3 linked regions of the Schizosaccharomyces pombe genome follow. Changing the gene in region 1 together with any one later gene gives a genetic interaction. Each region holds a gene or a part of one and is shown in the gene's direction. Other genes may lie near its edges.

The links.
Region 2: of cbf12 (region 1) and gsf2, changing one suppresses a phenotype caused by changing the other (phenotypic suppression), as found in Schizosaccharomyces pombe (one study listed by BioGRID).
Region 3: of cbf12 (region 1) and prz1, changing one suppresses a phenotype caused by changing the other (phenotypic suppression), as found in Schizosaccharomyces pombe (one study listed by BioGRID).

The regions. Positions count from the first base shown.
Region 1 is NC_003421.2:1,865,274-1,876,342, forward strand, and holds cbf12 (DNA-binding transcription factor, CBF1/Su(H)/LAG-1 family Cbf12), read left to right. Parts: upstream 1-6,093; 5' UTR 6,094-6,476; coding exon 6,477-9,368; 3' UTR 9,369-10,569; downstream 10,570-11,069. Other genes in the region: GPI-anchored protein Meu10, read right to left, coding at 3,207-4,457; aro2 (chorismate synthase), read left to right, coding at 11,026-11,069. UniProt on the Schizosaccharomyces pombe protein: Transcription factor which function may be to trigger the increase of adhesion at stationary phase, possibly by counteracting or replacing cbf11 at the respective promoters.
Region 2 is NC_003421.2:957,574-969,932, reverse strand, and holds gsf2 (protein Gsf2), read left to right. Parts: upstream 1-3,920; 5' UTR 3,921-5,960; coding exon 5,961-10,652; 3' UTR 10,653-10,734; downstream 10,735-12,359. UniProt on the Schizosaccharomyces pombe protein: Galactose-specific adhesion protein essential for non-sexual flocculation and filamentous growth. Required for adhesion and filamentous growth through recognition of galactose residues on cell surface glycoconjugates. Induces flocculation when overexpressed.
Region 3 is NC_003424.3:783,478-793,575, reverse strand, and holds prz1 (calcineurin-responsive transcription factor Prz1), read left to right. Parts: upstream 1-3,663; 5' UTR 3,664-4,411; coding exon 4,412-6,457; 3' UTR 6,458-6,798; downstream 6,799-10,098. Other genes in the region: mta1 (S-methyl-5-thioadenosine phosphorylase), read left to right, coding at 1-527, 627-887; SPOM_SPAC16C9.01C (carbohydrate kinase), read left to right, coding at 1,408-1,447, 1,485-1,562, 1,725-2,692; smp3 (alpha-1,2-mannosyltransferase), read left to right, coding at 7,013-7,136, 7,177-7,302, 7,347-7,415, 7,514-7,680, 7,721-7,878, 7,944-8,901. UniProt on the Schizosaccharomyces pombe protein: Involved in the regulation of calcium ion homeostasis. Binds to the calcineurin-dependent response element. Transcriptionally regulates pmc1.

The DNA.
Region 1 (11,069 bases):
AACAGGCAATATAAAATGTTTCACTGCTTTAGTTTTTGTTCCGTTCAGGAACTAAGCAAAGCCATCCTTTAATCAGTTTTAATGCTGGTGTTCAGCATTATTAACCTTTTACGCAATTTCCACTCAACACCGTTTAGCACTCCGATGTTTGTATTATTATTCCGCTCATCTAGTGTATAATGGAAAACGGTATTCCCACTAACCAACTGAAGCATTCCTTTTCTTAAGGAAAAATATATTGGTGGGTTACAGACCCAAGGACAATATATAAAAAAAAGTATTTATTGTATTTGAGAGGAGACTTTGGAACTAATAGATTTGATATCTTTATGGGTGATGTTAACTAATTTATTTATTATTTAGTATATTTGTGAGCAGTTTAGTTTTTGTACGATGTCAGGAAGCAAGGGGTTTTTTTTTAGCATGGCGTACTTTATAAATCTTCTTTTGAGCTTGATTTAATTTGTCGTCTTATCAAATTAAGCATATATTTCGTTTATCCCGTTTGACAACTGTGATCGCTTGTAGTCATTATCGCTAATTTGGTGCGAATATGTACAGGGTATTTTGTAGACGGATGACCTTGGTTAATGAAGACGTTCGTTTACGTTTTCCCCTTTACTGTCTCTATCTATCGCTTAGCTTGAAAACGTTGTTTAGCAAGTGAATGTACGGATGATGAAAACCTTTAATAACCATTAAAGCTTTCGTGTGGATCCGGAGACATTTTAATGAATACTGCGACAGAGTTTGTTTTGTTTTTGTTGACAAAAAACGGGCGATCCCAATTTTTAACAAGTTCACGGTAGGATAGATGGAGAGGGTAAATAGACGTGTACGGCTAGATATCAACTACGTGATGAAGCTGTAATTCCTGTCTAAAGGATTTAGCAAATCGCTGTTTTTTTTTAGAGAGAGAGTGGCATTCACTGTTGAGAGTGATGAACTTTTTTAAAAAAGGATGGAAAACGAAAAACCCATTGTTTCGTGGTTTTGTTATATTAAACCGTTCCGTTCTAAGCTTTAAAAAACCAATTTTACCAAACTATTAATCATACGTCCGCTGGAAAACGACGCGATCGCTAAATAAATATTTATGTGAAGAGGATTGGTATCAAGGAAAGTTTAATAAATTCCTTACCTATAAAAAAATAATGGATCGTATGCTATGAAGTGTAATTATTTACTTATTGTGAATTCAGTCACACTTTGAGTTCCAATGTTTTGTAGGTGAAAATTTTGATGAAATCTGTTACGAATAAAGTATGTACGACCAAAATTTAATTTTCAAATCAATATTTTCCGTTTAGCAATAAATCCATTTACCTACCTTTTTGTGAGTCTCTTAGACAACAACATGCTTAAACAACCTCTTAACTTGCATTGCTCTATTGGTAATGCTTAATCAAACTGTTATATCCCGTGTGTACCAAAAATTAAATCGAACGCAAAACTAACACTATAATAACATTTAACATTTCTAATCGTAGCTATAATTAAAATCATTGCTCTACAATCATTTTTAAGTTTTAAAACATATTGTCTGAATATACTGGTATTTTTGGTATGTTATTCTAACATTATTTTTCCAAATTATTATTATTATTATTAATTTTTTTTTAAATTATTTTTCCAAAAAACTGTTAATCACTATACAGAATCTATGAAGCTTTTATTTACACCTGTTAAATGGTTTAGATCCATCCTTCATTAATTCATAAATACAGATAATTCGTAGCAAACTCATTTCAAATTATTCATCTCTGCTTTGGGCAATTCACAAGTTTGTTACCCTTAAACAAAGCAAAAGCCAAAAAGCATCATCTTTACGAAGTATCAGAAACTGGAAAGGCAAATTGCATTTTCTTTCATCACAACACTCCTTGTATGTTCACAAAAACTATTGCTTCAATGAAACACATTCTCATTCATAATGAATGATGCTCTCTTATCATTGTTGTTCTATCATTAATTTTTTTATTTTATTTATTTTTTTTTAATCAAGCAGTAAGTTTATCATATTTGCAACTTCAAATGTTTGATCCAAACCGTCCAAAAATTAACAAAAGGACAAATTACGTCAAATCAGTAAGTAGTAGGATCGTTTAGTTATGATCATTGGAAATTGTTTCAGTGATCGGCTCGGTTGCAAGTCGTTTAAACTTGACAACCAAATATGAAACATTTGTGATTGCCAAATTCATCTTTCGTTGAGAAGTCATCCTTTCTCTCTTTCTTTTCCATACTTCATATACACTCTCTACTACTTAACAAGGTTCGACCAACTTTGTTTCAAGAAATTTTGCCTTCCTCCGCATTCGCGTAAAAATTTCATCCACTTTCCTTACCTTCCTTCTATCCGATTGCAATTTTTTACAGGCACGAGTGCCTCGGATGGATAAGGCTTGAAACACCCGAGGCAACACAAAGAAAAATATTTTTTGCATTCTGAATACCACTAATTGTTAGTTGACTAAACAAACGACGAAAGGCATGCTTGACTCACTCATGTAATTTCACATTCCTTGGTTTATATATTAATTCATTTGGATGCCTGTCAGATAAATTGTTCAGCTCTCGTACTTCCGTTTTTATCCCACTTAAATCATATGTTTCATGGCATAAAATTAGTACCATCTACGCGCGGGTTTAACTGTTAGTAAAAAATTGCCTTTTACTCTACAACAAGACAAACAAATGATTCATCTAGAAAAGTAGCGTGCTGTTATCGATAGACAAACATAATAACTGGTAGTTTTGTGATAGTAAGAATAATGATGAATATTTTTGTTTTAAAAATAAGAAGCCAATAGAACCTGGAGTCACTAAAAATACTTTTTTTTTTTCATTCTCCTAACCGTACTAAAAAATAAATAAATAAACCGAGGAAAAGCCAACCATTGGTAAGAAAAAGTGTTCACTATCCATACTCACAACAAAACAACTGAAAACCGGTTTCTCGTCATTTCACTGTGTCCATTAAGGAACAGCAAATAGTAAAGTGATCCAAAATGAAGCAACGAAACTTATCGCCGTTTTTTTTTGTAATCCTTGTTGGTTGAAAATCTTCCTTCTAATTATTTTGAAAGCATTTATTTACTTTTTAAATAGAAACAGGTTAATCATAGACGGCATGGCTTTGAAGGGTAGATTTCGATCTTGCAAATGAACTTGCGTTTACATTGTCAACTTTGTCTCTCTTGGCTTTAAAGCAAGTGCGCAAAGCCACTTACTAAGACAAGGAAAAAGGTAACAAGACGGAAAGGTCGGCTATCTACCTTAGCGGCACCACTTTGTTTGACCGGTGATGTACTGTTCTTAGAGCCTTTAATTGTTCCATTTCCTAACAGTTCATCAAAATCGTCATCATCGAAAGAAGACTCCTTGCTTTGTCTGGGATTGTCAACCGATCCTCGGCAAACAAACGATTTGCCCTTGATGATCCCGTCGCTCTGGCGGAAGGGACAAGTAAAGTCGCTCGATGTAGTTTGTATGTTCAAACCTCCTTTAACATCTCGTAACTTGGGAAGTTCAACGCTGCTAAAGTTACCGGTAAAGTCGATGGATCCTGCTACGGTCTTCAATTTATCATATCCTTTGATTTGTGCCAATGCTGCACTGTTGGCAATCATAAAAGTACCTCCAATGCTCTCAAGTTGCTTGAAATTTAGCGAAGTCAATTCCTGATTGCCTATAAAGAAAAGAGACTGTCCAATTCGTGTAATGTTTGGGCATGATATATCCTGCAACGTGCTGTTGAGGAAGCCTAAAAATCCTTTGACCTCTTCTAAATTCGAAAGTTGTAAGTGAGCTACGCGTTGAATCGTCATGTCACCCACGGTTTTAAGTCTAGGAAGGGTAACACTGATCTCCCTGGCATTGTAAGAGACGTAAAACTTCGACTCCACACTTTCCAAATAGGGCATATCAACTTCTCGCAAATAATTGTTGTTAACAATTACCATCGTATCCGTAGTATTCAAAGAAATACCTGCAAGTGTGGAGAGTTGGGTATCCTCGATGGTGAGCTTATGGGCCTTTTTGATCCCCTTATCGAATCGAATCCCTTGAAGATTTGGCAAGATACGCATCGTTAATTGGCCAACATTTGCCAGTTGAGGTGCGTAAACACTAGCGAGTCGTGTGAGTTTTTCAAACCGTAATTCTCCACCCACACTGGAAATGGATGTCAGGGCTACCGATGCAAGGTAGTTGTTATTACGAATGATGAGATCACCGGTAATGGTCTCTATTCTATTGAAATTCAAAGAAGTAGCTGAGCTAGTGTTCATGATGATAGAGCCATTCACAACCTGACAGTTGCTTAAAACGTCCAAGTCATTCTGTGTCTCAATAATGTACTCGGGGGCACCACAAACCGCTGGGGTTGCACCAGCGATCACTACGCTCCACGCAGTGAAACTGGTAAACAAATAAAAGCGTGAAGACAAGCGCATTTTATGATAAATGAAGAATGAATATAAAGGAGGGAAAAGTTGTTAGGGATAATAAAAGCAATAAAATCTATCAAGTACGACCAAAATTTTTGTCGTAGCAGGAAGGGATTGGAAATGAAATTATGAATACTGAAGAATGAATTCGGGTCTTTGTAGGGTTTGGAAATGATGAACCTTTAATTGTTTATGATTTCCTTGTTGATTAAAGTTTGGACAAGAAAAAGTGCCTTAAACGAATGCTAATATAACAAAAGTTTATGTATATATATGCTGGGTAAGAAAAGAGGACAGAGCGAAGTCTTTCTTCGTAATGGATTATTTATACGATTTTTGTTAAAAGGAATAAAAATGTAGCGGTTATTTCCAGGTAGTTTACTCACTGGCATGCCCTTTTATAGATTTCGAAACCGCCCAACTCATCTTAATATGGTAAAAGTTACTCAGGTTTATACACCCCAATTACTAAAAACATCTTAAGTAATAAGTTGAATGTATGTTAATGGACTATATGCGGTTCACACATTCGTTAATTCATTTATAAATACGGCCTTGAGCCTGCACCACACCTACCATCAACAACAACTTTCAACAATAACAAACACAAATGAACAGCGAAAAATAACGAGAGTAAATACCAAGAAAGTAATCAACGCAACTCTTTAAAATTTTTTTTTTTCATAATGTAAACAAACCTACTTGGTATAATTGTTTACTTATTTATTTACTTTGCAATGTTAGTAAACAATGTCAGCAACGTCATGCGATCGACTTTTTCATTGTTTTTCTCTACACGAGGTAACATTATCCCATTGAGGGGTATAGCGTCCGTTGCGGAGGAAAGTTGATCATAAGTGACCCACGGATTGTCTCTATTTTACAATGCTCAACTTGACTGGTTGAATGTTGAGAGTGTTTACTTCGTTGATTACCAACATTTGCTATGTCAACGTAAAACTGCACAAGTTGAACATAACTGGAAAAACTTACTTTGGATTATTATAACTGACTAATCAATAGGACTCATCCGTTGGATCTAGGATTCGCTGCAAATCCTCATCATACATTATTTTGATTCCCGAAAACTGCTTGCTTTAAATTTTTTAAAATCTTAAACCTTTTTTTTAACCTTTTCATTTAAAACATTTTTATCTCCTTCGCAAGCTCAAAAGTCGAGAATTGGCATCGTTGAGGTGTCAACCGACAACGGACCTAAAAAGGCGCCGACAAGCAAAAAAATTTGTACGTAATTGCTATCAGGAATTTAAGAAGCGGCAAAACTTCATCTGCTTAATATTCAAAGTGAGTCTCGAATGTCACCAACGGAAGCCAAATCTTCGGTCTTGCTAAGAGGCTTACCTATCCTATCGTGCATTTTATTTTTTCAATTTACCATCCTGGGAATACTAAGTGGACGTGCGTGGTTGGTATGAAAACATTCTGCACCATTTGGACATCCAACAGTTAAAATTTTGCGAAGTCACAGTTGTTGGCCGTTCTATTTTCAGTGGTATTCCCGTTAATATCACACTCAATTCGTGCTATAGGCAAAATCGGAAAAACCAAAGTACATGTTGTTTAACGATTTTTCGGTAACGTCGTAAGGCTGTATATCCAAGTAATACCGGATTAACATTTTACTTCTCCGAATTAGGGAATCATGTAAATAATAAAAAGAAAAAAAAGGAAGATTAGGACTGCTACAAAAATTAATGAATTGACTTAAGAAATTTGGTTCCTGACTTTGTACGAAAACACAACACTTTTGTAACAACCTTTACGCTAGCTAAATAGTTTACTTTTTACCCTTGATAGGTCATCCTGTTCGTTGCAATTAATGTTGAGGGAAAGTTAAGTGATCTCAGCTCATCAAATACCAGACATTGCGCGTACATGAACTTTTAAACTTAACGTCCACGGATCTCTTAAATTCAGCTGTAGAGGTGAAAGGCTTGTTTTAAAAGTTTTAAAATTTCCAAACGGATATAATAGATTGCATCCTTTTCACCTTCGTCAAATTCTATGTCCCCAAACGTTCAGAAACGTCCTTCTTCCGAAGATATTAAAACACAGGAGTTTTATGATTCAACTAGGAACATAAGAAGAGTCGCTACAGCAATAGGATCCATCAATGCTAATTTAGAGTCTCCACAATTGTATTCACTCGCCAAATCCACCTCTTTACAGGAACCCGTTCGCATCTATGGAGACTCGGTTTCACCCGCCATCAGTAGCTCCAAGGCCCACTCCACGTCTTCAGTGAGTCCGTATTACTCGGAAAAAAACGAATCTCAAGCGTTGAACGCAGATGGCACAGCATTTGCTAATCCTTCATTTCATTCTTTTGGTCTACCTCAGGAGGACTCACAGGATAACACCCAAACCTATTCCACACCTTATACAACGATGAATCCTTCCAATGAGATGCATCCTTATCCGCCAGCAACTTTTGAAAACAATTACTCTGTCCTTCCTGACCATTCCTCTCAACCCAATGCGTATTCCTTTACCGGCTCAAATATTCTCCCTACTCAGTCCCCATCTTTAAACCAAATGCAAGATTATCAAAATCTACAACAAAATGGTTCCTCTAATACCACTATTCCGTCATTCTCTTCTCAGCATGACCTTTCGCAAGGCCTAACTCATCAACCCGTCCCAAATCATGATGAATATGCATTCTCTTATCCTTATGAGTTACAACGGAAACCTCTGATTCCTGCTCATCCGGTCCCCTCTTTTCGACCTACCTCTGCATTAAAGGTCAACATGAACAGCAATGTTCCATCGTCTGATTCTGTTCGTAATTCTTCTCCAAATCAATATTATGCCTCAACTTCCAAGCAGAGCATCCCCTCTCAATCTCAAAATTTACAACCACCACAAAAAGCTTCTGTACTGGGAACAGTCAATAATTACCGTCAGTATCAAAATTCTTTTATTTCTTTAAACGATTATCAGGCTGCTCAAAGCAACATCTCTTCTCCGTCCTCAAGGTTTCCTACTCCTTATTCTCCGAGTGTTCCATTTGGCACTTACCAGGAGAAGGAAAAAAGTTATTCGCAAGATCATGCAGAACTTTCATACTATCAGCAGTCTCCTTCAATGATGCCTCCTTATGATAGATCATCTGTTTATTTTCAACAACCCCTGTCCAGAACCGATGTGCCAAATCAATCGTTTCAACAATATCCTACTACCGTCGACGGAGGATCCATGATTCCCAATCTTTATCCCACATCGGCAGAGCAGATGGGCTTGTATCCTCAAGACTCCCAAAACAAAGATACTTATCCAAAGTCTTTAGTTAATAGACCTTCATCGGCCGTATGCGAGCCAGCTAGAAATGATTCTATCCCTATGATGGTCTATTCCCAGCCCGTCACCATTGAACAACGGATTCAGTATGTTTTGTCAAATTGCCATTGTTTAAGCGCCTTTTATTTGTGTATGCCATCCCTTTGCCAAAAATCTTATGGAACGGAAAGACGATATCTTTGTCCGCCCATTGTGCTATACCTTTTAGGGACTACATGGCTTAATAATGTTACAGACAATTTGAAAATCTCTGCTCAAACTTTGGAAGACAAAGACAATCCAAAGTTTGCAAAAAACATATTTTACTATAATGCAGATGGTGCTTTAATCAGTCCTGAAACTGATATTGCAAAATCTACCTATCAGCTTACAAATTATAATGAAAACACTAATTTTGACTCATTCCCTGTCTGGGGTAATGCTCTATTAAAAACTATTTATTATACTGGCCAAGGTAAAAATGATGGTTTTGGCCGGTCCACATTTTTACAACTTTCGGTTCAATCAAAAACCAAGTATTTCAAACTTGAAAATTTAAGACTAGGGGTTATTTCTAAACCAAGTCAGAAACGTGCACTGATGAAAGTGTCTGACATGAGCATACGCCATGGTGATTGCGTTTGTTTATTCAACAGATACCGGGCTCAGCATAACAATGCATTATTCCTAGGTACCAGCAATGTTCAAAGAGCGATATCAAAAGTTTCCCTTAACATGAAATACAATTCGAATTATTTCCCTACCACCGACGCCCCTAACGATGCTGAAAACGAAGGTGCCGGCCTGGCTATGGCAAACAATTTATGGGAACCTTTTTATATTTTTTCTGTCGATGAACTTAACAAAGGAAACAATTCCAATCCAAGTGACTCAAGAAGCAAAGTGTTGTGCTCCAATATGGTTATCATTTTAGTAAGCAAAATAACCGGTGTGCAATCGCCGCCCTTGATATTAAAGAAGCACGATAATTGGAAGGTATCGCTTTCTTCGAGGGCCCCAAGTGAAGCCATTAATTGTCTTTCCAAACTAGCCTTTCAATGTCACGAAACCAAGCGTTTCCTGTATATAGATGAAAAACAATCTAGTGAAATCAGTTTCACTTCAGGTGAATTAGAATACTCAGATCCCAATGATCCCACGAAAGCCACTCATTCTGTTCTTCCTTGGTCAGCCATGTGGTCAATTATTTCCACGCAATCTGTTCGAACGATGTTTTATAACGAACCAATTCACCAAAACGCATTTCACGTAGTTCCTAGTATGCCGTTTGTGAAATTTATTCGACTTGATGAAAATTCAATGTTCCACATTTATGGCACTGGGTTTGCAAATGATGTGCAGATTTGGATGGCGTATACGCGGTGTGAAGTGAAGTCTATCAATGCATTCAAGCCTGATACGACGTTACCCCCAGACATTATTTCAGACTCCCGGTTCTCTTCACGAGTATATGCTTGTACTGCAAATTTAATCGAATTAATTTGCGAAATCCCGGTGTGTATGTTTGAACCAACAGTGGAATTATCTCCCATTTTATTATTTCAATACGAGACACTCTTTCATTCTGGATATAAGTGGCCTTTGGAAAGTCACTAAATTATTTGTCTTTACTACTTTTTTATTATTGAAAAGTTTTTGCAAGGGATTAGTATATTTATTTTTACTCTTTTTGTTTTTCTTTAAAAAATGGTTTTATTGTCAACTACACATATTTGCCATATCCTTTCGCACTACTGTGTTTATTTATTACTACAACTTTGTTTTCCCGAAATCTGATATTATTGTTACTATTATTTATATTATTGGTTTGCATAGTTGAAATTCGGACGGTTAGCTTTTTGCATAAAGGTTTGTTACTAATATTTCTATTCTATAATGGTTAATGTTGATGCGGAGGAACATCCTCGTCAGAAGCCTAATTCAAGTAAACATGGTTTTCGCCCTTGATTAACCGAAAGTATCTTTTTCGTAAAACGATGTTAGTGTTATGGAATGTCTCTACTCGGTCAGCAATTCTTTTTCTTAAAAGAGGAGATTTTGCTTGACACGTTATTTATTGTATAAGTTCTTATTCTTATTTAATTATTTGAGTGATAAACATTGCAACAGAGCACAAGAAATGAGCAACAACATAGCTTGGATTAATCAATCGATGAAAGCCGTGGAGGGGATTGATTTTAGTGGGTGTTGTACTTTTATATAGTATGCTCCTTTGTCATTGTTTATAACTTCTGGAAGGTCGGATTTCTATTCTTTTTATTAATTCTTAATTACTTAAAATATTTTTCATTTTTTTTATTTCCTGTTTATTTTCGAAAGCTTCTCTCAAGTTCTTTTGGCATTTAAGACGAGAGAAGCTATTTAATGTTTCTTTCTCTTACTCTTGTTTATTTATTATTTGAAAAAAAAAACACGTCCCGAGCTTTTGTGATATTCATTCATAATCTAAAGCTAAAGATGCTTCACCAATCCCTTCCGTCTTACTAAAGCATATGGATGGACACATATTTATGTTTAAATGTTTATACGCATATGTAATACCTCTTTGTTTATTGCATCGCGAAATGCCTGTTGTTCCGCAAAAATGAACCGAATTTGATTAGCATACCTTCGAACTTTATTATTTAATCAATCTTAATAAAAACCAAGGCGTTTAATACTTGAAATCGCCTTAGCTTACATTACAATATGTCTATGGTTTTACACCTGGTAAGATAAAACTTATAAAGTAGACCGGAGTCAGAAGATGTGATTGTTTACTTCGAGATACCATGCGCGCAATATAAGAACAGTTTATATAGCAATCCGTAAAGTAGAGTTGTCCGTATTATAAAAATAGAGATAGGATTATCGATGAAAAATCACGAGATTTGTGATTTCCCTTCCTAAACATTCCCGTTGATTCATAAACTGTAGCGATTAACGCAATCTAGCAAAAGTTCATAATCATAAACATAGCGCAAGGTAAAGGTATACAGGATAAATTGCAATAAATAGTAGATAAGGTAATTGAAATTGAAGTCTGTATGTGCAAGTAAAATTGTTGTGATACAACTCACAATCTTCACAGCACTAAAGCTGCGTTTCTTTGCGCTGCCAATTAGCTGTCTTTTGCCTAAACAAAAAAAAAAGGGATTGGTAAAACAGTCAACTAGATTTGTGGCATATCTTATTTAGTCGGCAGTAGGGTATTTTTTTAAGGAATTTGATATTGTCAGGGAGGTTTATTTTATCCAGATTTGTGTTGTAAAGTATGTCTTCCTTCGGCACTTTGTTTAAAGTTACTACATATGGCGA
Region 2 (12,359 bases), 910 kb from region 1:
GAGCAACGCAAACCAACTTAACTTTGTTTGTTAGGATTTTAAAATTTTTTAAAGGCATTTTGACTTCGGCTACGGTAAACGAATTTCAGGTAGCACGTTGAGTTAAACTTTTAAACAAGAATAGCAGAGTTCGTGATGGGTAGTATTGGTAAAGCATACAACGAGATGCAATTCATAAATTCTGAAATGAAGTAGAAAAGAGAAGGAGGAAAACTAGGCGAAAAAAGGGATCAGGGGATTGTGTATAAAAGTTGCAAGTGAGATTATTTAATGATTGTGGATCGAGTAATCAAAGGAATTGTGTAAGATTGAATAGTTTGATGGAAAATAAATAATTTGCTCAACATAACTAGCGACTCGAATTATATGGGAAGGAGATGGAAAAGAGAATATGAAAAACAATTCAATCAATTTGGGTTCAAGGGACGAGGAAAGAAATAAGAGCAATAGAGAAGAGAAAAAGAAAGAAGAACAGAGAAGAGGGATATTTGATTTTCATCCCATTCCTGAAAACCTGCACGTCTATGAAAACAACGTGGAATTAGCTTAGCGACTCAAAAATAGAAACATACACAAGTTGAAACAAGGGGAACTCATTGGAATAAGTGGCCAAGTCGGAAAGAAGAAGAAATTATCATATATATATACATTGTGTGTAAACATGTATGTCTATATAATATAAATTAGAAATCTTCATGTCCTCATGGATGGTAGATTGCAATTGAAACAAGTAAAAATGTAGGTAATGGAAGAACACAGGAGGAAATGAAAATGGTTGAACAAGGATTATTTAATATATTAGTGAACGATTAGGAAATCAAGCATCATCCAATATCCAGCCTTTCCATTAACAAATTGCATTTCCACATAATCGAGAAAAAAAGAAATGACGAAACGCAAAAAAAAAAACAATAACAACAACAACCACCACAGTGAAAAAGAATATTTCCGTCGACTAGAATGAGAGTGATTTAGTGAACGACGCACAACAAACCCATTCTCTCAAAAAGTGATACATTTTGAAATGACCTTTACTAAATTAATTGGGTAAAAAGATGAAATCGGTTTGTTGAAGAAATATGCTTCCCTAGAAACAAACGTTGAAAAAGGTTGTTGTAAAGAATGCTAAGTATCCCTTGTTCATTGTGAATGTTTTCAATTGCCTATCTAAAATTCACAGACGAAATGAGAAGGAAAAAAGCCAGCCAACTGTATACGCAAGAAATGTGTGACAATTCGACAAGAGTCATAGAAAGTGGGCGGGAAACAGAAACACACAGAAAGTATGACAACTAAAACAAAAAAAAAAAGCGATTATAAAGAAAGAAAAGACTGACAGCTTGAAATTTTGAATTGAAAACCAAATCATCCTTTTAAACATAAACATAAACATAAACATTTCATTTCCTTTCCAATCCAATTCAATTCAATTCATTCCACTCCACTCCACTCCACTCCAATCCTTTTCAACCCCCAGCTTTCATCGCTTCCCTCTTAAAATCGGTTTTTTCTCCAACTCCATCATTCATGAGAATAACGACAACGCACTCCACCTTAATACCGGTCTCTGAACATTCAACATCCATCCCCTTGGAGCAAGGGAGAGGGAGAGGGAAAGAGAAAGTGGGAGTCAGCAACATTTCCTAATACTTTCCTTATTGAATGATTGTAAAGCGGGGAGAGATTAAGATGATAGATTCACAATAGTTAGGGGAGAAAAGTAGAAAGAAACAAATGATACTCTCAACCACTTTTTTTCCTTTCCAACAGAGAATAAGAGAAAACAAGAGAAATTGAATATGAAACCATATTAAAATTATGGGAAGGTTAACAAACTTTCCACATGCCATAAAACATTAGATGAAACGATAAAACCTTGACTTGTTTAGAAAGTCACGCACGATAGGCATAGAGTTTGTAAATAGAAGTAAAAGTAGCAAGCGGAAAATTAGAAAATAGAAAACAGAAATAGAATTAAAAAAGTGGAAAAAATAATATAGAAATAGAATTAACAAGTGGGACACAAGTATCAAAGTAAAAAATAAAATATAAATAGAAATAAAGAATCAAATTACCATCTTGTATATCTTCTTCTCTTTAATTATGCTTAACGACGACCTCGCTAATCGTAGAAACCTCTTGTTTTGAAAAGGTGAATAACGAAGCGGAATGGAGTCACAATGTTCTCCTTCTTCATATGATGCCATAAATAAACAAGGAAGCGAAATTTAAAAGCCGCAATTGGACAATGTGTTTGACATCATCCTTCCACTCAACGAACAGATAACATCATGTCATGACGTATAAGCTTTAGTGTTTTTGTATTTGAGAAACAAACATTGGTCAAGGATTACCGAAAATTTAAAGGGTTGATTTACCGAAATCATGACGTATTCCATTCAATTTCAGCACGAGGAAGAGGTAAAGAACATCAAGTAACGGAGACCCTATGTAAATAAAGAAAGCATGGAAGAACAAATAAAGGTAAGGAACAATAAAATGTCTAAGAAAAAAAAGAAACAAATACGACTTCTCTTCGAAAAAAAACAACAACAACAACAATTAACGATTGCTCTTTTCTTTACATATATATATTTTTTTATCGTAATTTGATTGCCTTGTTTTCCATGGGAACCCGAGTGTATGAATATTGGTGAATTCGTATGTACACATAAAACTTTACTGTGTGAAAACAAATAATGAATTAAAAAAAAAGAAAAGAAAAGCATCTGATTCAGCCACCTCTTTTTTATCTAATTTCCCTTCTACAGTTTATGAAAATTGGATGCATAATCGAAATTGCCCTCTTGCCTTGTCGGACCGATGGTTATTTACTAATAGTATATAAGCCTACCCCTTTTGCTTAACGAAGCATTTTACGAGTCGTAAAGTTGAAATTAGCGAAAAGTTTCGCAGCACATAAATTGACAATTCCACAGAAAAAAAAAATGTTTGAAAGAGAGAGAGTGTGTGTGATTCAGGATTCTCTTTTTTTATTCTTTTTTATTTTTGGGGGTAAGGTATTCTACAATACACGAAGAAGACTTTTTTTAAAATGTCCATCTAAAAATAGAGAAACTTAGAAGACAATCGAAGAAAATAAGATCCCCTTTGATCACTGAATGCACTACACTACACTGCACTAATTCCGTTTATGAATGCCGTTTAGTACGGCAGGAGCGGGTTACTGCTAAAAATAAATAACGACGGCTACTAAGAATAGAAAGTAAAGTGGGTGTGCTATCCGATGTTGGTTATTTACAGAAATAGACGAGAAACACAAGAAGCTGCTTACAAACAAAAAGTATTTGTTGTGTGAATGGTGGATGAAAATAGAAAGGTTCTTGTTTTAACTTCTTCTCATATCTTTTAAACGAATAATTAATGAGTGTTTCTTTATTCGTGAGTCTATATTCTCGGGTTTCCTTCTCAAACTTTCATCCAAAATAGCTAGTTCTATAAAAATAACCATTTCAACATGTGCCTAGGCATTGCCGGCTTTACCATCCATGATGGCTAAGCCAAACTAGCTTTAATCACAACCAGAGCAAAAAGTACACACTGACCGAAAATAGTACATACTGACCTGACTGTTTAGTGAAGTAGAGCGTAGCATGTACACAGTAGCAAAAAGGATATAGTACGTTGGCTTTGACGTTTGGAAAAGAAGCAAAAGAATTCATTTCATTCTAAAAAGATTTCCATATATTTTATGTAATTTTTCTCGTAATTATCAAGGCTTTCGTTCATTTCTTGTCCTTGTTTTTCCGATCCAATTTGCTTAAAAAAAAAAAAAAAAAAAAAAAAACTCATTCCGATTCACTATATTACTTAAGAATGCAGTATATATAATTAGCGTAGAGTAATGAGAGTTGCAAAAATTACCACCATTCTACGGGACCAGATTGACAACACCTGGTGAGCGCCGCCATGCATTCTGCCTCCAAGGCAAGCTGGACTATAAGCCGGCAGAGGTTTGACATACTTGTAATTTTATGAATTGGACATATAGAAGTAAATGCAAGTATTTTTATCCGAGGAGAACGCTAGTTGGAGGGAGAAGATGAAACAATAGTGGTGATAACAAAAAAAACAAAAACAATTGCCAAAAATTGTAGGAAAAGAAATTGGAAAAGGACGCGTAAAAAGTCATTCAAATCAGTAGAAACTTTCCAATGCGCGAATGGACATCCATCCATAATATTGAAAGGTTATTTTTCGTTTACAATCGTCGCAATTCAAATAGACGCGAAAAAATAGCAACTGAACGCTGCCACCTTAAAATTGAACTAAAAAATTTCAATTATAAATGCTTTGATCACTAAGCAAACATTGAAAATCTAACGACTTAGACGTTGCATAACTAATGAATTGACATTGCATGAACTACTACTACATCCTTCTAAACACCGCCTTTCTCGCTACCACAACCCCATCTCTACTACACTTCCACTCACTTACTCATCATTCTTCATAGTCGCACTTTTTCATTTCTCTCCTGTCATCTCCACAAATTAAATCTTAATCTCTTGTTTCACTAGCTTCTTAATTGCAATTAAAATTGCGCTTGCTACATCCTCTACACTACTCCTGTAATCAGCCTTCTTTTCTTCTCTTTCTTTAGCATACTCGGTCTCGTTATTCCATATATCGAAATTTTCTTCTTCGCTCGACCTCGATATTCTTAGGAACCAGCACAGAATGCAAAAGTGGATCCTTACCTCCATGTTCCCGAGATAGAGATTATTCCCTAGCCGAAATTAGAATTTGCGAAGAGGTTTTATGTTATCGCGGGGTCTTCCACATAGGTGACAACGATTTTTTAAATTCGAATTCAAAATGTTTCTCTAAAAAAAGAAAAACTTGCAAAAACGGGGAACATTTGAGAAAAGGGTCATCGGGGTACAGAGAGAGGGGTATAGAAAAAGTCGCAAAGGAAAAATTCCGTAAATATTCATTGCTAAAATTTCACACAGATTGGTTTGGGTGTAGTTATTTATAAATATGGCCGCATCTACTTAAGAAAGTTATTTCGCTCCTACATTGAAGGCGAGTGGTCGAGTGTTCGTCAATCAGTCATCAATTGAACATCCAAAACATTCTTAACGAGATTAAGATCGTTGACTTTCTTCTATAAAAGCAAAGCATCGAGAAAGATTCGAACATTGCAAAAAAAAAGGATTACCTATTCCATATACACCATCTGTCTCTCTCTTTTTGTTGAGGTTGCTAGAGTTTGGTTATTGGAACTTTCTTTTTTTTGTTGTATCATCATTTGTTTCCTTCCTTCCATCTTTATTTTGGGAAAGCGACTTGATCTCTCTTCGCTGCACGAATCTGTGATAACAATATCTTCACTCATTCTTTTCGCCAGCATCCAATTTTGTTTTTTTTTTGAGAAACAAATCTGCTCTTGTACATATTCTACATTCTTTTGAATTACAAGTGGGTATTTTACATTCATTTGAATAATTTAAAATAAATCTGGCTAGCATTTATTTTTTAATATTCTCCCCTTTTTTCTTTACATCCCCCATTCTATCGTCTAGGATTTCGGGTTGAAATTGGGTTTTAAGTTGTCCTACATTTACACAAAATAAACACTGGGTAATTTCGTGTTTGGGTTGGTTTGGTAATACAGCTTGCGAATCTCCTTTCATCCAGTTATTTTTTATTTATATATATTATTTCTTTCATTAATCTTTTCGCAATTTTGCATTCATTTAAACCCTCTTTTCTTCATTCTCTGTTGAAACTACGAGCTTTATTCATTTGGGATTCACTATTTTTCTAATTGAATTTCTATCATATTATCAATAAACGCGCTCTGCACACCAATCGTCAAGCATTGGATTTAATTTTGTTTTTGATAATATTTAATTTTTTTATTCGTTTGGTTAAATTATCTTAATAATTTTGTTTTTTTCTAATTCACTTACCCGTTTTTGAATATATCAACAATGTCTGTTAGAAGGTTTTTATCCACATCTGCTCGGGCATTACTTTTCACGGCTGCTCTTCTTCCCTCCTTGACTTCTGGTCTACCTTCTGGAAATGTCAGGATTTTGCAAAAGGGAATGGAACCTGAAGATTACCTTTCCTCTGCATCACAAAATGAAGTGCCTCACGATATTTCACTTCCAAAGACCGAGCTTGCGGATCCAAATTTCCTAGTTGACGATATGCCAACCTTACTTGGCAGAGACGCTGCTGTTGATCCTAGCATGTTTACTAGCACCTTCACAGTAAAAAATGGAAATGATGCTAACTACATTACTGCTAGTCCCGTTAGCAACGACGCTTCCATGACTGCTATTAGCACTTTTACCTCAGGGAAAGAAGCTTCTTATGCAATTCAAGCAAGCCCATCTACCTTTCTTCCTGATTCGACTACCACTTCAGGTTCACAAGTTTCAAATGCTGTTGAAGCGAGCTCAACTTTTGTAGCTGATACGACTAGCACCTCATGCAACCCAGCAACGGTTTTAATTGTAACCACATCTGGTTCAACAAGTACTAGTTGTCCCCCTCCAACAACAATTCTTATTGTTACAGTCCCTACCACAACCACAACAACTACTGTTGGATATCCTGGATCCGTCACTACTACCTTGACTGGAACTCCTAGCAATGGTACTGTTATTGATACTGTTGAGGTTCCCACTACTACTAACTATGGTTACACCACTATTACCACTGGTTATACTGGATCCACTACTCTTACCACTACTGTTCCTCACAGTGGTAATGAGACTGGACCTACTACAGTTTATGTGGAGACTCCTTATCCCACAACTGTCACTACCACCACTACTGTTGGATATCCTGGATCCGTCACTACTACTTTGACTGGAGCTCCTAGCAATGGTACTGTTATTGATACTGTTGAGGTTCCCACTACTACTAACTATGGTTACACCACTGTTACCACTGGTTATACTGGATCCACTACTCTTACCACTACTGTTCCTCACAGTGGTAATGAGACTGGACCTACTACAGTTTATGTGGAGACTCCTTATCCCACAACTGTCACTACCACCACTACTGTTGGATATCCTGGATCCGTCACTACTACTTTGACTGGAGCTCCTAGCAATGGTACTGTTATTGATACTGTTGAGGTTCCCACTACTACTAACTATGGTTACACCACTGTTACCACTGGTTATACTGGATCCACTACTCTTACCACTACTGTTCCTCACAGTGGTAATGAGACTGGACCTACTACAGTTTATGTGGAGACTCCTTATCCCACAACTGTCACTACCACCACTACTGTTGGATATCCTGGATCCGTCACTACTACTTTGACTGGAGCTCCTAGCAATGGTACTGTTATTGATACTGTTGAGATTCCCACTACTACTAACTATGGTTACACCACTATTACCACTGGTTATACTGGATCCACTACTCTTACCACTACTGTTCCTCACAGTGGTAATGAGACTGGACCTACTACAGTTTATGTGGAGACTCCTTATCCCACAACTGTCACTACCACCACTACTGTTGGATATCCTGGATCCGTCACTACTACTTTGACTGGAGCTCCTAGCAATGGTACTGTTATTGATACTGTTGAGGTTCCCACTACTACTAACTATGGTTACACCACTATTACCACTGGTTATACTGGATCCACTACTCTTACCACTACTGTTCCTCACAGTGGTAATGAGACTGGACCTACTACAGTTTATGTGGAGACTCCTTATCCCACAACTGTCACTACCACCACTACTGTTGGATATCCTGGATCCGTCACTACTACTTTGACTGGAGCTCCTAGCAATGGTACTGTTATTGATACTGTTGAGGTTCCCACTACTACTAACTATGGTTACACCACTGTTACCACTGGTTATACTGGATCCACTACTCTTACCACTACTGTTCCTCACAGTGGTAATGAGACTGGACCTACTACAGTTTATGTGGAGACTCCTTATCCCACAACTGTCACTACCACCACTACTGTTGGATATTCTGGTTCGGTAACTACTACTTTGACTGGTAGCGGTAGCAATAGCATTGTTACTGAAACTGTTGATGTCCCTACCACTACTAGTGTTAATTATGGTTATACTACTATTACGACTGGCTGGACTGGATCAACCACGCTTACTTCTATTGTTACTCACAGTGGAAGTGAGACTGGTCCCACTACAGTTTATATCGAAACTCCCAGTGTTTCGGCTACTACTACCACTACTACCATTGGATATTCCGGATCTCTTACAACTACATTGACCGGTTCCTCTGGCCCTGTTGTTACCAACACAGTTGAGATTCCTTATGGAAACTCTTCGTATATCATTCCTACAACCATTGTTACTGGCACCGTTACTACTGTGACAACTGGTTATACTGGTACTGAGACTTCTACTGTTACAGTTATTCCTACTGGAACCACTGGAACCACTACAGTTGTTATTCAAACGCCTACCACAGTGACTGCAACTGAAACCGACATTGTTACTGTTACAACTGGTTACACTGGAACTGAGACATCTACTGTCACAGTTACTCCTACTGGAACCTCTACCGGAACCACTACAGTTGTTATTCAAACGCCTACCACAGTGACTGCAACTGAAACCGACATTGTTACTGTTACAACTGGTTACACTGGAACTGAGACATCTACTGTCACAGTTACTCCTACTGGAACCTCCACTGGAACCACTACAGTTGTTATTCAAACACCTACCACAGTGACTGCGACTGAAACCGACATTGTTACTGTTACAACTGGTTACACTGGAACCGAGACATCTACTGTCACAGTTACTCCTACTGGAACCTCCACTGGAACCACTACAGTTGTTATTCAAACACCTACCACAGTGACTGCGACTGAAACCGACATTGTTACTGTTACAACTGGTTACACTGGAACCGAGACATCTACTGTCACAGTTACTCCTACTGGAACCTCCACTGGAACCACTACAGTTGTTATTCAAACACCTACCACAGTGACTGCGACTGAAACCGACATTGTTACTGTTACAACTGGTTACACTGGAACCGAGACATCTACTGTCACAGTTACTCCTACTGGAACCTCCACTGGAACCACTACAGTTGTTATTCAAACACCTACCACAGTGACTGCGACTGAAACCGACATTGTTACTGTTACAACTGGTTACACTGGAACCGAGACATCTACTGTCACAGTTACTCCTACTGGAACCTCCACTGGAACCACTACAGTTGTTATTCAAACACCTACCACAGTGACTGCGACTGAAACCGACATTGTTACTGTTACAACTGGTTACACTGGAACCGAGACATCTACTGTCACAGTTACTCCTACTGGAACTGCTACTGGAACCACTACGGTTGTCATTAATACTCCTACAACTACTGGTTCTGAGGTCCTTCCCACTACTGGTGCTACTGGAACTGCTGGTACTGAGACTCAACTCACTACTGCTACCGAGGTTCAACCTACTACTGGTGCTACTGGCACTGCTGGTACTGAGACTCAAGTCACTACTGGTACTGAAACCCAAGCTACTACTGCTACTGAGACTCAAGCTACTACTGCCACTGAGGTTCAAACTACTACTGGTGCTACTGGAACTGCTGGTACCGAGACTCAAGCTACTACTGCTACTGAGGTTCAACCTACTACTGGTGCTACTGGAACTGCTGGTACTGAGACTCAAGTCACTACTGCTACCGAGGTTCAACCTACTACTGGTGCTACTGGCACTGCTGGTACTGAGACTCAAGTCACTACTGGTACTGAAACCCAAGCTACTACTGCTACTGAGACTCAAGCTACTACTGCCACTGAGGTTCAAACTACTACTGGTGCTACTGGAACTGCTGGTACCGAGACTCAAGCTACTACTGCTACTGAGGTTCAACCTACTACTGGTGCTACTGGAACTGCTGGTACTGAGACTCAAGTCACTACTGCTACCGAGGTTCAACCTACTACTGGTGCTACTGGCACTGCTGGTACTGAGACTCAAGTCACTACTGGTACTGAAACCCAAGCTACTACTGCTACTGAGACTCAAGCTACTACTGCCACTGAGGTTCAAACTACTACTGGTGCTACTGGAACTGCTGGTACTGAGACTCAAGTCACTACTGCTACTGAGGTTCAACCTACTACTGCTGTTACTGAGACTTCTTCAAGTGGATATTACACTACTATTGTATCTTCTACTGTGGTTAGCACTGTCGTTCCTGGCTCAACCGTGTATCCTGTCACTCATGTTACTACGACTACTGGAGTATCCGGAGAATCTAGTGCTTTTACTTACACTACTTCCTCTACCCAGTACGAGCCTAGCACTGTTGTTACCACTAGTTATTATACTACTAGTGTTTACACTTCAGCTCCTGCTACCGAAACTGTTTCTTCTACCGAAGCACCTGAAAGCAGTACTGTTACTAGCAATCCTATTTATCAAGGATCTGGTACATCTACTTGGTCTACCGTTCGTCAATGGAACGGTTCAGCTACCTATAACTATACCTACTACACGACGGGTGGTTTCACAGGCGGTAACAACACCAACGTTACTGGCTTATACCCATCCTCCGCTGGAGCTAATAAGCCAATTGCCTATTTGACGTTTGTCTCTTTGTTTGTATATATTGTTACTCTAATTTAAACAAACGATCATGAGGTGTTAATGTTTTTAGAATAAATGGAATTAAACTAGTTATCTTATAATAACAAATTATCATTTAAAGATATTCTATTGTTGTTTTCAGAATAACAGCATAAGTAGAAAAAAGGTGCTAATGTAAAAATAGTGAATGAGTGACAAGTTAATGTAAATGAATTCAAAGCAATAAGTGTGCGTATTTTTAGTGTAGCATTAAAAAGTACAGCATGCATAGTGTATAATGAAGGAATACGATAAAACGCATAGTGTAAAAGAGTGAGATGTGATAAAAGAGCGAGTTTGTCTAGTCACATGTACTACAAAGGTAAGGCGGCGTAGCGGGAACAGTAAAAAAATTGTGCAGCTTAGACAAATTCAGTAAAGCGAATTGTGCGTCAGCAATATAGCACTACACTATATAATTTACTACGCCGCGTATCACTATATGTCATATACTAAGATACTAGTGAACATACCGCATACCGCTTTACCGTTATATTGTAGATCGCAAGAGAAACTCACCGCGGGTCAATATGTATCGGTAAACAGATACCGAACTGCGTAGCTAACAATAAGAGTGATGTACCGTAAAGAACAGTAGGGTGCAGAAAGGAACTGCGAAATGCGTTACATCAAATTGGGGCTGGTGAATATAACAAATGGAGCAATAAAGAAGAAAATATAATAAGTTTGTAAAGGTAGAATACCAAGTCTGTTGAAAACCCATTTTCAAATGAAGAATGTTTCAATAAATTCTATTTCTATCTATTCCTATGAAAATAAACGGCTACGTTGTAGGAAGGTTTGTCGCATTCTTTTTCCCCAAGCTTCTCCACATTCATGTCGCTAATTCATGAGATGTAAGTGATATTGTGCCGCCCATACGTAACAGCAATTAATGGATAATATATGAGTATGAAAATGTGTTTGTTAGTTACTGGAAAGTGTTTTAGTATCCCTTAATCGTTGTACTTGCATGACATGTTGCAAAGGGTGGAGATGAGGGTAGATGTACAAATTCAAAAAAAAAAAAAAAAAAAAAGAACAAGGTACAACAACTAGAGAAAGACTGACGAGTGTATGAAAATTTACTTTCACATGAAAAAGAAGAAAAATCTTCATAAAACAAGTCGAAAGGGCCCGAAGCTGTGATTCTATGATTGAGAAGGACGACTTGTTGCTTAGGTACTTACTTTTTACAGGTGCGCTTGCTCATAAGGAAATTTCTTCAGTCGATTGCAAAAGTGTGTCAATCGTAAAAGTATATCAGTCAAGTCTCCTTCCTTTCTTCTCTGAACACTTCGATGATTGAATAGTGTTTGCGATAGAATGCTAACGCATTTAATTGCTTTGCATTGCAGTTCCAACAAGCTTCATTGCAACACAGCACTTCACTTTGCTACGAAGGGTTAAGAGGAAAGGGGATTACCAATTCCATAGACTTCAGTATGAAGCAGACATTACATTCGCAAAAAGAAGGAAGTGCTTTCGTCATGCGACAATTACAATTCTTCGTTCTTCGTAATCCTTCACTGTAGCAAGTCAAGGTTAATATGGTGGCAGTGGCGATCGATGATGAGTCAAAGAAAAAGGTATCCTAGCAATGAGGCAAATTAATTTTTCTCATGTCGTAGTTACGTAAAGGTTATAAAAAGATATGCTGGAACTTAGGAAGGCTTGTTCCATCCATCTTCAATTCACCATCGTATA
Region 3 (10,098 bases), on another chromosome or scaffold:
CCCGCACAACCTCTGGTTTTTTGATTGCATTTTTGGCTAGACATGGTGTCGGTCACATTTATACACCTACAGAAGTTCCATCTCGAGCAAATATCGCAGCTTTAAAAAGTTTAGGTGTTTTGGCAATTGTTTCGTTCAGCGCTGTTGGATCTTTGAGGGAGGATATTCCACCGGAGGATTTTGTTCTGCCTACACAGATTATTGATCGCACCCTTTGTGCTCGTCCAAACACTTTTTTTGAATCTGGTTGTGTAGCTCATGTTTCGTTTGGTGATCCATTTGATCAAGACTTGTATGAAATTTTAAGTTCATGCGGCTCCAACTTAAAAAATGGTTCTAAATTACATACCAAACGCAAAGGAGATGATCTTACTGTCGTGTGTATGGAGGGTCCTGCATTTAGTACGCGTGCAGAAAGCAATTTATACAGAAGCTGGGGAGCCAGTATTATCAACATGTCAGTCATTCCCGAAGCCAAACTAGCTCGCGAAGCTGAGATTGCCTACCAAATGGTTTGCATGGCTACAGTAAGTTTTTAACATTCAATGTACCTCTCAAATCAAAGCCATGCTTTTTAGACAAGTACTTTGAACTTATTATTAGGAAGGAATTTTAACAAAAAATAGGATTATGATTGCTGGCGCATGAATGAGGAGCCTGTTACTGTTGAAACCGTGATGGAACATATCAGTAACAATAAAGATAATGCAAAAATCTTTTTACTGGAAGCCGTCAAAAAGTTAGAAGCTCCACTTTTGCAAGGATTTTTGGGAAGGAACTTGCGAGAAAGTGTTCAAAATGGGATTCAAACAAATCACAAGCATCGTAACCCAGATGCAATTAGACGACTTCAATTTCTTTTTCCCAATCTTACCATTCCGCACTAAAGAGCAAAGCTTTGGGAAGTAACATTTGAAATTTTATAAAAGAGTAGACTTAGCTATATTGCTTGCTAATTGACTGGTCAGGACTGTTGCATTGCTAACACTTAGATTAGTTAATTTTATATTGGAAAGTGATAATTCCTTTTTGAGAATGATGAGTACTTCCTATATATCGTTAGGAAAATACAATGTTCTAAGTATGACATGTGTGCTTGATATATGGTATGTAGTAGTATGCCCATTCATCTCATACAAAAGTAAGCAAATGCAAAAGTACATTTTTTACGGATACTTAATTTTCAGCATGATTCAACACTTCCTTCATAAATATGAAATATTTTATTTAATTATTCGCCATGTTACCTTTAAATTACTATACAGAGTGCAGGATGTTTATTGATAATTACGTAGATTATCTGCAGATGTTCGCTAACTCTGACTTTTAATGCACCAACATTAAAGCAATATATGTTCTTATAATTAAGAAAAAAACAACTTACAGTAATTTTTTGGGATTAACAAAATGGATTATCCTTCGAAAGATGTGGAATTCGTCACAACTGGTAAAAACTTTCACATATAAGTGCTAACGAATGCAAGGCATGTTTATTATAGATGAAATTGAATTCGACGGCGGAAAGAAGATTAAAGATATTATTGGAGGTGCAGGATCTTTTGGTAAGTGTCTAATTCTTTTTAAAATTTTAAGCGGAGCGATTTGCGAACTTCATTGGTGAAGCATATCTGTTTATCGAAGGTTGAAATCCTCTCCCTTAGAAAAAAGATGCATTGCGTCCAATATTTTTATTATTAAAATAATAATTAACACATTATTTTCAGCATTGATTGGTGCTAGACTCTGGACGTCTGAACCCGAAAGTCAACAACTGGGAATGATTGTTGACAAAGGCTCTGATTTCCCGCAGGTGATCCTCGATGAATTAAACGATTTACATACTGGAATTGTATACAGAGAAACGCCTTGGAGAAAAACTACATATGGTTACAACCGTCTCAGGGACAATGGTTTTCGATTGTTTGAATACCTTACACCTAAAAAGCCAATTCGTGCTCCTGATCTTTTGGAAACAGGATTGATATATGCAAAAACAATTCATATTATTACAAATCCTAAAACATTTGTCTCTGTGTGTGAGGAACTGGCAAAGTATGGAAATCTAAAAAATCGTCCTAAAATCGTATGGGAGCCAACGCCTGAATCCTGTTTACCGGAAAACTGGCATATTTTACAAAAAGCCTTAAAGTATTGTGATATATTTTCTCCAAACGAGGTGGACTCTGCCAACCTTCTGGGTATAGATATTAGCGAAAGCAAATCTCGAGCCAAAGAGTTTGTATCTGCGTTTCAAGAATTCCAAATTGGGCACGATTCTCAAGGATGGGTTGTTCTTCGAAATGGGTCCGATGGTTGTTTAATTGGTGCATGCACGAGTAGTACCAACGCTACAAGCGATGCAGTTGTCCCTGTGCGAGAAATTCTTCATTTGCCAAGTGTACAAATGAAAAACGGAAGCGTTTTAGATACCACTGGGGCTGGTAATGCTTTTTGTGGAGCTGCAATCTTGGAGTATTATAGGACGGGTAATATTATAGAAGCTTGTGCTAAAGCTACTGTAGCCGCTTCGTTTGTCATTCAACAACACGGTTTGCCGGCACACACGAAAAATAGTGAAGGGATTGACTTATGGAACGGAGAATCAGTCTTTCAGAGGTTGAAAGAATACTATGAATTTTTAGCTTCTCATGAAGCTTCCGCCATCAAAGAACTTACGAAACGAGGTGTATAGGTTGCTCTTACAACACAATATAGTCATCTTTTGCTACGAAGTACAAATACTTAATAAGATTATTATACCATTTATTACAATACGCAATTTCGTTGCATTACAATTGGGATTTTCTGCATCTAGGTAATCTAATACAAGAAATGCTCTTGATATTTGCAAATATGATATATATTAGTTGACAGAACATCGGTTGAAGTATCCGATATGAACCGCTTCGTTCACAACATTCAACTAAGCCTCTGCACCAAAGAGCCTGGAACTCGTCAAAGCCGCCGTCCGTCGTATCGTGAGAGAAGATTCTTCAAAAATAATCAATAGTCAGAATTGCATGGTGGTTTGAAGTCTCTTACATATAATTTATAGTACTTTATGTTTTCAACTTAGAATTATTCCACAATTTATAAGTAGTACTACACCTTATTCTGCTTCCCCACTAATGAGTTTCGGATGGTGTTGAAAAGCTAATTTCATGAATTTCAAGCTTTGGGGTTTAATGCTTCTTGACAAGCCTACGGAAGTTCTCCATGTTGTAAGTGGTATTACATTTGGGCACGCCTTCAACTAATAACCGGCACTTTAAAGTATGTGGCTTTGCTTCCTACCCCTTAAACTAGAATATATATTTGATGTCGCTCAATAAATAAAACAAATTTTCATACATTCATGTTATTTAGCTATTTGTGCTTTGTATAAAATACATGTCTCATCACTTTACTATACACAAGTCGCCACCCTTTAGTAAGTCCAGTAAATTTTCAATAGAAAATTGGATGAATATCCTTCAAAAACCAATTTTTTTTCATTTCTGGAACTCCTTAACTGGGATCCTTTGTATATGGAAATTTATTATATTTTGTTTTTAATTTGTTTAGCAAACTGTTCTTTAGCATCCTGCTGCTTCATACTAACTTCAAGTTTAAACTGCGTGTTACTTAAAATTCGTTACCCGATCACGTCTTGTGCAATCCTTTACCACTACATCGCAGAAATATCTTGATGATTTAGCAATTCATCCGTTGTAAATATATAATCTGCTGGCCATTTATTAAACTATCATTTTTTTTTCTGTGAAAATCAAAGCGTTTAGCTGACGCTGTAGTATATTGAGGCTATTCTGTTTTTTTTCATGTCGAGTTAGCGATTTGCGCTTGTATACTTGTCTACCTAATTTTGCAATTTTTCCTAATCGTTAAAGGGTTTTCTCTTGTGCTGTCCTTTAGGTTACTTCCTCATTTCGATCTGTGAAAATCTCATTTGTCGCACTCTCTCCTCTCATTTGTATTGCTTAATGCCCTTTTTGACGTTGCTTAGCTAACAATTATATTGTACTAACCATCAATCTTCTCAGACTTTTATCCTGCGCATTATTCCAAAATACAAAATTTTGTATCAAGAAATTCTGTCGTTATCTGATCAAATCCTGTGAAGCACTGGATTAACTTTGACGACCTCAAGTCTTAATTTTTTCGTTTATTAAACGATACTTTTGGTAATTAATTATTCATTCCACTAATAAATTTCACACCCTTGGTGTTGCTGGTTTATCCAATTTATTACTACAAACCAGCTTTACTCTACTATTCGGTCAAAAAATTCACGTTATAGGCTTTTTGAAAAATAATTTGTCTAACCATTCAATTAAAGAGAGTTGGTGAGTCTTCAGACAATATTTTTGAGAGCGTACCGTTCCAAAAGTTAATTATTTGATGAATTTCATCGATGGAGCGTCAAAGGTCAGAAGAAGCGAATCGTAGATTCAAAGACTTGAATCCTTCTTCTTTATACGATAACCTTTCAAAGCCGGATCTTGGAGGCTCTAGCGAGTTGCATACGTACATGAATGACACTTCGCTTGCTGATATCCCCCTTTTTGAGGATACTCTTGCGTCTGAAGTTTCTTCTTCTTTAATTTCCAATCCTTCTAAAAATAATATTCAGCACCTCCATCCCAACACCTCCGAGCCTTTTAAAACGTCTTCAAAATCCGATGAATATGATTCTTATCCTCGAACCGGGAATGTACCTACTTTTTCATTTACAGAACTGAACGATACTTCAGTCAGTGGCTTCGGTAGTCAAGCGGTATTTGAAAACTCCGTTAGCCCTTTAAGTAATCCATCAAATAGTCCGCAAGCATTTGACTTGACTCAAGGTTCGAGTTCTACTCATAACGCCAACGACTTTACTGTTAACAATGTTGGCTCAAGACGACAATCCATTTATGAGTTTAATATTGGTATTCCGTCTTCAAATATCGATTCTTCTCAGTTCTTACCAGTTTCACGTGCAATTGCGGCTTCTGAAATTTCTCCATCTTCATCGCCTCAGCTATTAACATCCTTCCTTCCCTCAGGATCTGTTTCAAATCCGAGTTCTCCATATTTACAAGGTTCTGTTGGTGCTCTGTATGAAGCCGATGCTTTTAATTTTGTTGATGTAATGTCACAGGCATCTGGAACTGAAGTTGATTCAGAGAGATTTCCTTCTGTTGATTTTGAAGATCCATCTTTATTGATGGAGAATCAACAAAATATTACCGGAACCGGTTCTTTTGCTGACTACCTTCAACCACCTTCTTCCGGGAGCCTGGGGGCCTTTACGAACGCGTCTCCTGGTGAAAGCAACACTGGTATAGATTTTGATACGGATAATACCAATTTGAATCCTTCCGTTGATTTATTGTCTAACCATTCCACACCTTCTTTCATATTTGAGAACAGTCCTTCCGCTGAATTTTCTCACCAGTCATCCCCATATCTTGTTCCAAACTCCGGAAGGACTTTAAACAGCGAAAATGCTAGAGAATCTACTATTCGTTCTGTAAATTCTCCTTTTTCTGAGGACCATGCAGATGCCTCTTTAACAACACACGTTTTTGACCCTATTTCTCCTACCGCTTTAAGCAATTCCGTTTTGAATTATGATTCAAACAACTTTTCGGGTACCCCACAAATTAATGTAGTACCTTCATCTCCTTCCAAATCCCAATCTGGACCTAGTTTGCCAGCAAATCCTCTTCTTCAAACAGACATTAGTATCACTTATAGCCAGTCTGCATCTCCAGTATCTGGTCAACCTGCTATGAATGAAAATTCTTATGACTTACAAAACGCTAATCTTTGTGCTCCTGAAATGTCACCCACATATACGGCTCGTCATCGATCAAATAGTGCTGGCTCACGATTTGATGCTTATGAGCCCATACCTCAATTATATACTCACTTTTCACATTCTTCTGAATGTCTATCTGTTAACCAAGATACCGAACTGCTGGGAAAAATAGAGAATGATAATTCTAAGTCGAACGATTATTTGTCAGTTAGAAATACTCGTCCTCGAAGTCGATCATTGAATTCGCTAGTAGGAAACAAATCGGAAAATTCGTCTTCGTCTAAAGCAAAGTCAGAGTCTAAGTCTCAAGGAAATTACGTTTGTACATTTGCTGGTTGCAATAAGCGTTTTACTAGGGCTTATAATTTGAAAAGTCATATGAATACACATACAAATTACCGTCCCTTTCAATGTTCGATTTGTAAGAAATCATTTGCTAGACAGCATGATAAACGGAGACATGAGCAGTTACACACTGGCATTAAAGCCTTTGCATGTGTCACTTGCAATCAGAGGTTTGCTCGCATGGATGCACTTAACCGACATTATAAAAGTGAAGTTGGACAAAATTGTCTTCGCACGGCCACAGAACGAGGAATTCAAGTTCCGCCATCCAGAAAGACAGCAGTGGCCTCGACAAGCAAACAAAAATGATGTTTTAATTTCCAAAGCAAGACATTTTGCTTGCACCTGTGATTAATGGGTGTCTAACTATATTTCCTTTTGCAATGTGATGCAAGTATTTGCACAGTTTTGCATTTAGGGTTTTGTATTATTTTTTATCTTTGATGTTACGTTTGGCTTCGTTTATAGTTTATTAACTTTTTGCCCTTTTTAAAGAGAGTTGACATTGTTTATACTTAGTGATTGATTTTACCCCATCGTTGATCCAAAATACGGCTTTTAATATTAGATTTGTTTAAAATTAATTATGTTTTGGGTATTGAGTTAGATTAATTTAAAATGTAATAAGACCTGCAATTCTTCTAGTACAATTATTTTACTGAAACATTAGTTTAACGTATACTTTTTGTATGCTTCGTGTATTCTTAAACATATACCCGTCGACCAAGAGTTGTTTACATTTTCGCTTAGCAAACCTTTTTCATAACAAACATATATAGTTCGGAATATCTCGTTATATCTTCATCGTGTAATCCATTGCACACTGAAGCAATAAATCCCGTGCTTTATCCATTGAGATTAAGGATGTTTAAAAACCGTAAATATGCTATAATTTATACTTTTCTCCTAATTTTACGCTTTTGGTTTTCGCAAGGCAGCTCATACATACATCCGGATGAGCATTTACAATCGTTTCAAATATTCGCAAGTATATTACAATTCTTCAACAATTTATGACTAATATAAAGATAAATTATTTGGCTGGAAAGTGGAACTTCCATGGGAATTTACTACTAAAAAACCAATTCGGTCTGTAGTTCCTTTGAATGTGATGCTTTTACCTATTTTCTTGCTTTGCCGGTGTATTTGCAAATGTAAGTGTATTTTAAATTGAACGAAATTCTTACATATCCAAAAGCGAACTGCTCTCCGTATCCTATTTTGTTGTTCACTAGACTCTATATGTGTTTGATCTCTTTGTTAATAGGTATGTACATTGGCGAATATTAAGCTCTGATAAATTTGGAATTTATTTCAGAATTTACTACAAACCTTATTTCCTCCTTCCTTGACTAATTTTGGCAGATTTGAGTATTTGGAACATCGTACCTTTGAACGCAAGATGGAGTGCATTGCTTTTATATTCCTCATCCTTCATGGCTACTACATTTCAAACACATACTTTTACAAACTCAATTGAAACGATTTTCTTTTTTTTAACTATACTATTTCTTTCGAAGTTGAATAGTGTGGTAAGTTAATAGCTGGCAACTCTTAACTAACAAGAATCAGCCATTAAACAAGAAAATTAGTTATTTATATACATTTTTGCTTGCAATTGTTAGTGTATTAGGATTTTTCACAAGAATCACTTTTTTAGCTTTTGTGATCGCCCCCTATATCTATTTTTCTGTTCGATGTTTTAAAAAGAACGTGAACAATCCGAAAGAGTAAGTGATTTTGATTTTTAAATTGAATTAAAAATATATTATGGAATAAACACTAACTGGATTAGCATCTTTTTGCACTTATGTATTTTTGTTTCAGTTTCTTTTGCAACTGTCTTAGCATGCATCCTCGAGGACTACAAGTTTTATGGGGTGTTTGTGATAACATTTTGGAATAATTTAAAATACAATTCTCAAATCGAAAATTTGTCACAGCACGGATTGCACTCAAGATTAACACATTTTTTCACTAATATGCCACTCCTTTGTGGTCCTCTGATTTTTGTTCCAAAGCTTTGGGACGTTCGAAAACCTGCAACTTGGTTATGGCTTCTCCCCGTTTTCATACTATCCCTGTTTCCTCACCAAGAGCCCAGGTTTTTGCTACCCGCAGCCTCTATTTTTATAGTGAACTCTGGATGTCTAGTTCGTTCATATTGGATCAAATTTTTATTTGTAATGTATGCAGTTGTTTTGGCAGTTTTCTTCGGCATAATGCATCAAAATGGTGTTATCCCTGCGGTTTTGGAAGTAAAAAATATTATCGAACAGAGAAATGTAACAACCATGGAAAATTGTAATTTGTATTTTAATCCGGAAATGCCCACGACTATTTATTTTTGGAAGATTTATAGTGCTCCGACTTGGATGCTTGCTCGTCCAAAATTTAGCCAAATTAATACCTCTCATCTTTATAACTACTCCACAAAACAAATGATATCAAAATTTTGGGAGACTTACTATGAAGAGGTTAAAGTCGTCAATTTGCCTGAAGAAAACACAACCGAGTTTCAAGCATCCACTTTATTAGTGTGTCCTGTTGCTATGCTACAAACAAGCAGTTATCTTCAAAATTTGACTATGCTGCATTACATCCCTTATCACGTTGATTTAGATGACACTGATGAGTTACCCCTAGCAGAATTGATTATGAATCATGGAATTGGAATTTTCACCGCTAAGGAGATTTGTGAGAATAACACTATTACTAATGAGTTACCAACGGTATTGAGAAGTGTGGGATAGCAACATAAAAAAATCATTTTGCCTCGTTGTGTACTCTTAAGATTGAGATTCGCTCGTCATGCTACATTTTAATACTGCAGCAATTGCGATTAGAAGTTACCGTTTTCTTGAAATGTTTCGTATCCTTATTGTTAATCCTTCTTTATTGTTTTAAGGGTCAGAAAGTTCAATACTTAACTTTTATTAAGTAAACTGATCTAATTGTTAAATTCATTGGCATTTGTTTAATTTTTTTTCTAATATATTTGGGTTTTAATTTTAATTTATTTATGAAAAGCTGAGAGAATATTTAGTTCACTAAATCTTTCGCGGTTATTTAATCGCGAAGCTTGCATTCGTTCGATGAATGATGATTAATTGTTATATGTTGATTCTATTGATCATATTGTTGTCTATTTTCTTCAGCACAACACTGTTAATCGCCTGTTCCGATCCGATCTATGACAAAACTTAGCTGATTGAGTCTTCAACTTGTCATATTCAATTCTAACCAATTTTGTTAATAATAAAATAGTACTGACTCATCCCGATATGTTCAATGTGCTTATATCATACATAACATAACGTATTAACACAGATTGGGAGCCATTTGAATTCGTTTTACGCAAACAACGACTATATTAGCTTACATACGCCAATATACTAATACTAGTTCAACGATTTATTTGTTGACGGAGAATTATTGCGCACTTAGTTATTTTTTTGTATCACTAACTACTTTAGTAGGTTCACTTTCATAAGTGGTCAACCCCCCCACATAGTACTTGAGGTAGTAGACGAAGTCATAATTGCTATTCAAGTGAGTAATGTCTTAAAGAGAATATGGACCCCCCATTAGTACTTTCTAACCCACTTGGAAATTGAAATTGCTTTGATTTTTAAGCATTATGAATTAATATAATATTAATGCGTATTAGCTTATATAAACGATTACTAAATTATATTCTCATAGTTTTTCATGCATCTACATAAACAGTCGGCAGGGACGTAAAAAGCTACTCTTTTAACTATGATTTTGTATTGTAGTACATTAAGAAGGGTAAGTAAGGTCTTTATATTGTAATCTCTACGCCCTGGTTGACAGCTGTTTTAATAAGCTAGAATTTTTCGCTAAATGAGTTTGCTTTAAACATTGAATTAATTAGAAAGGTTTGTATTGTTCATTATCTCAGCATTCCATTTCCTATCCTTACATGC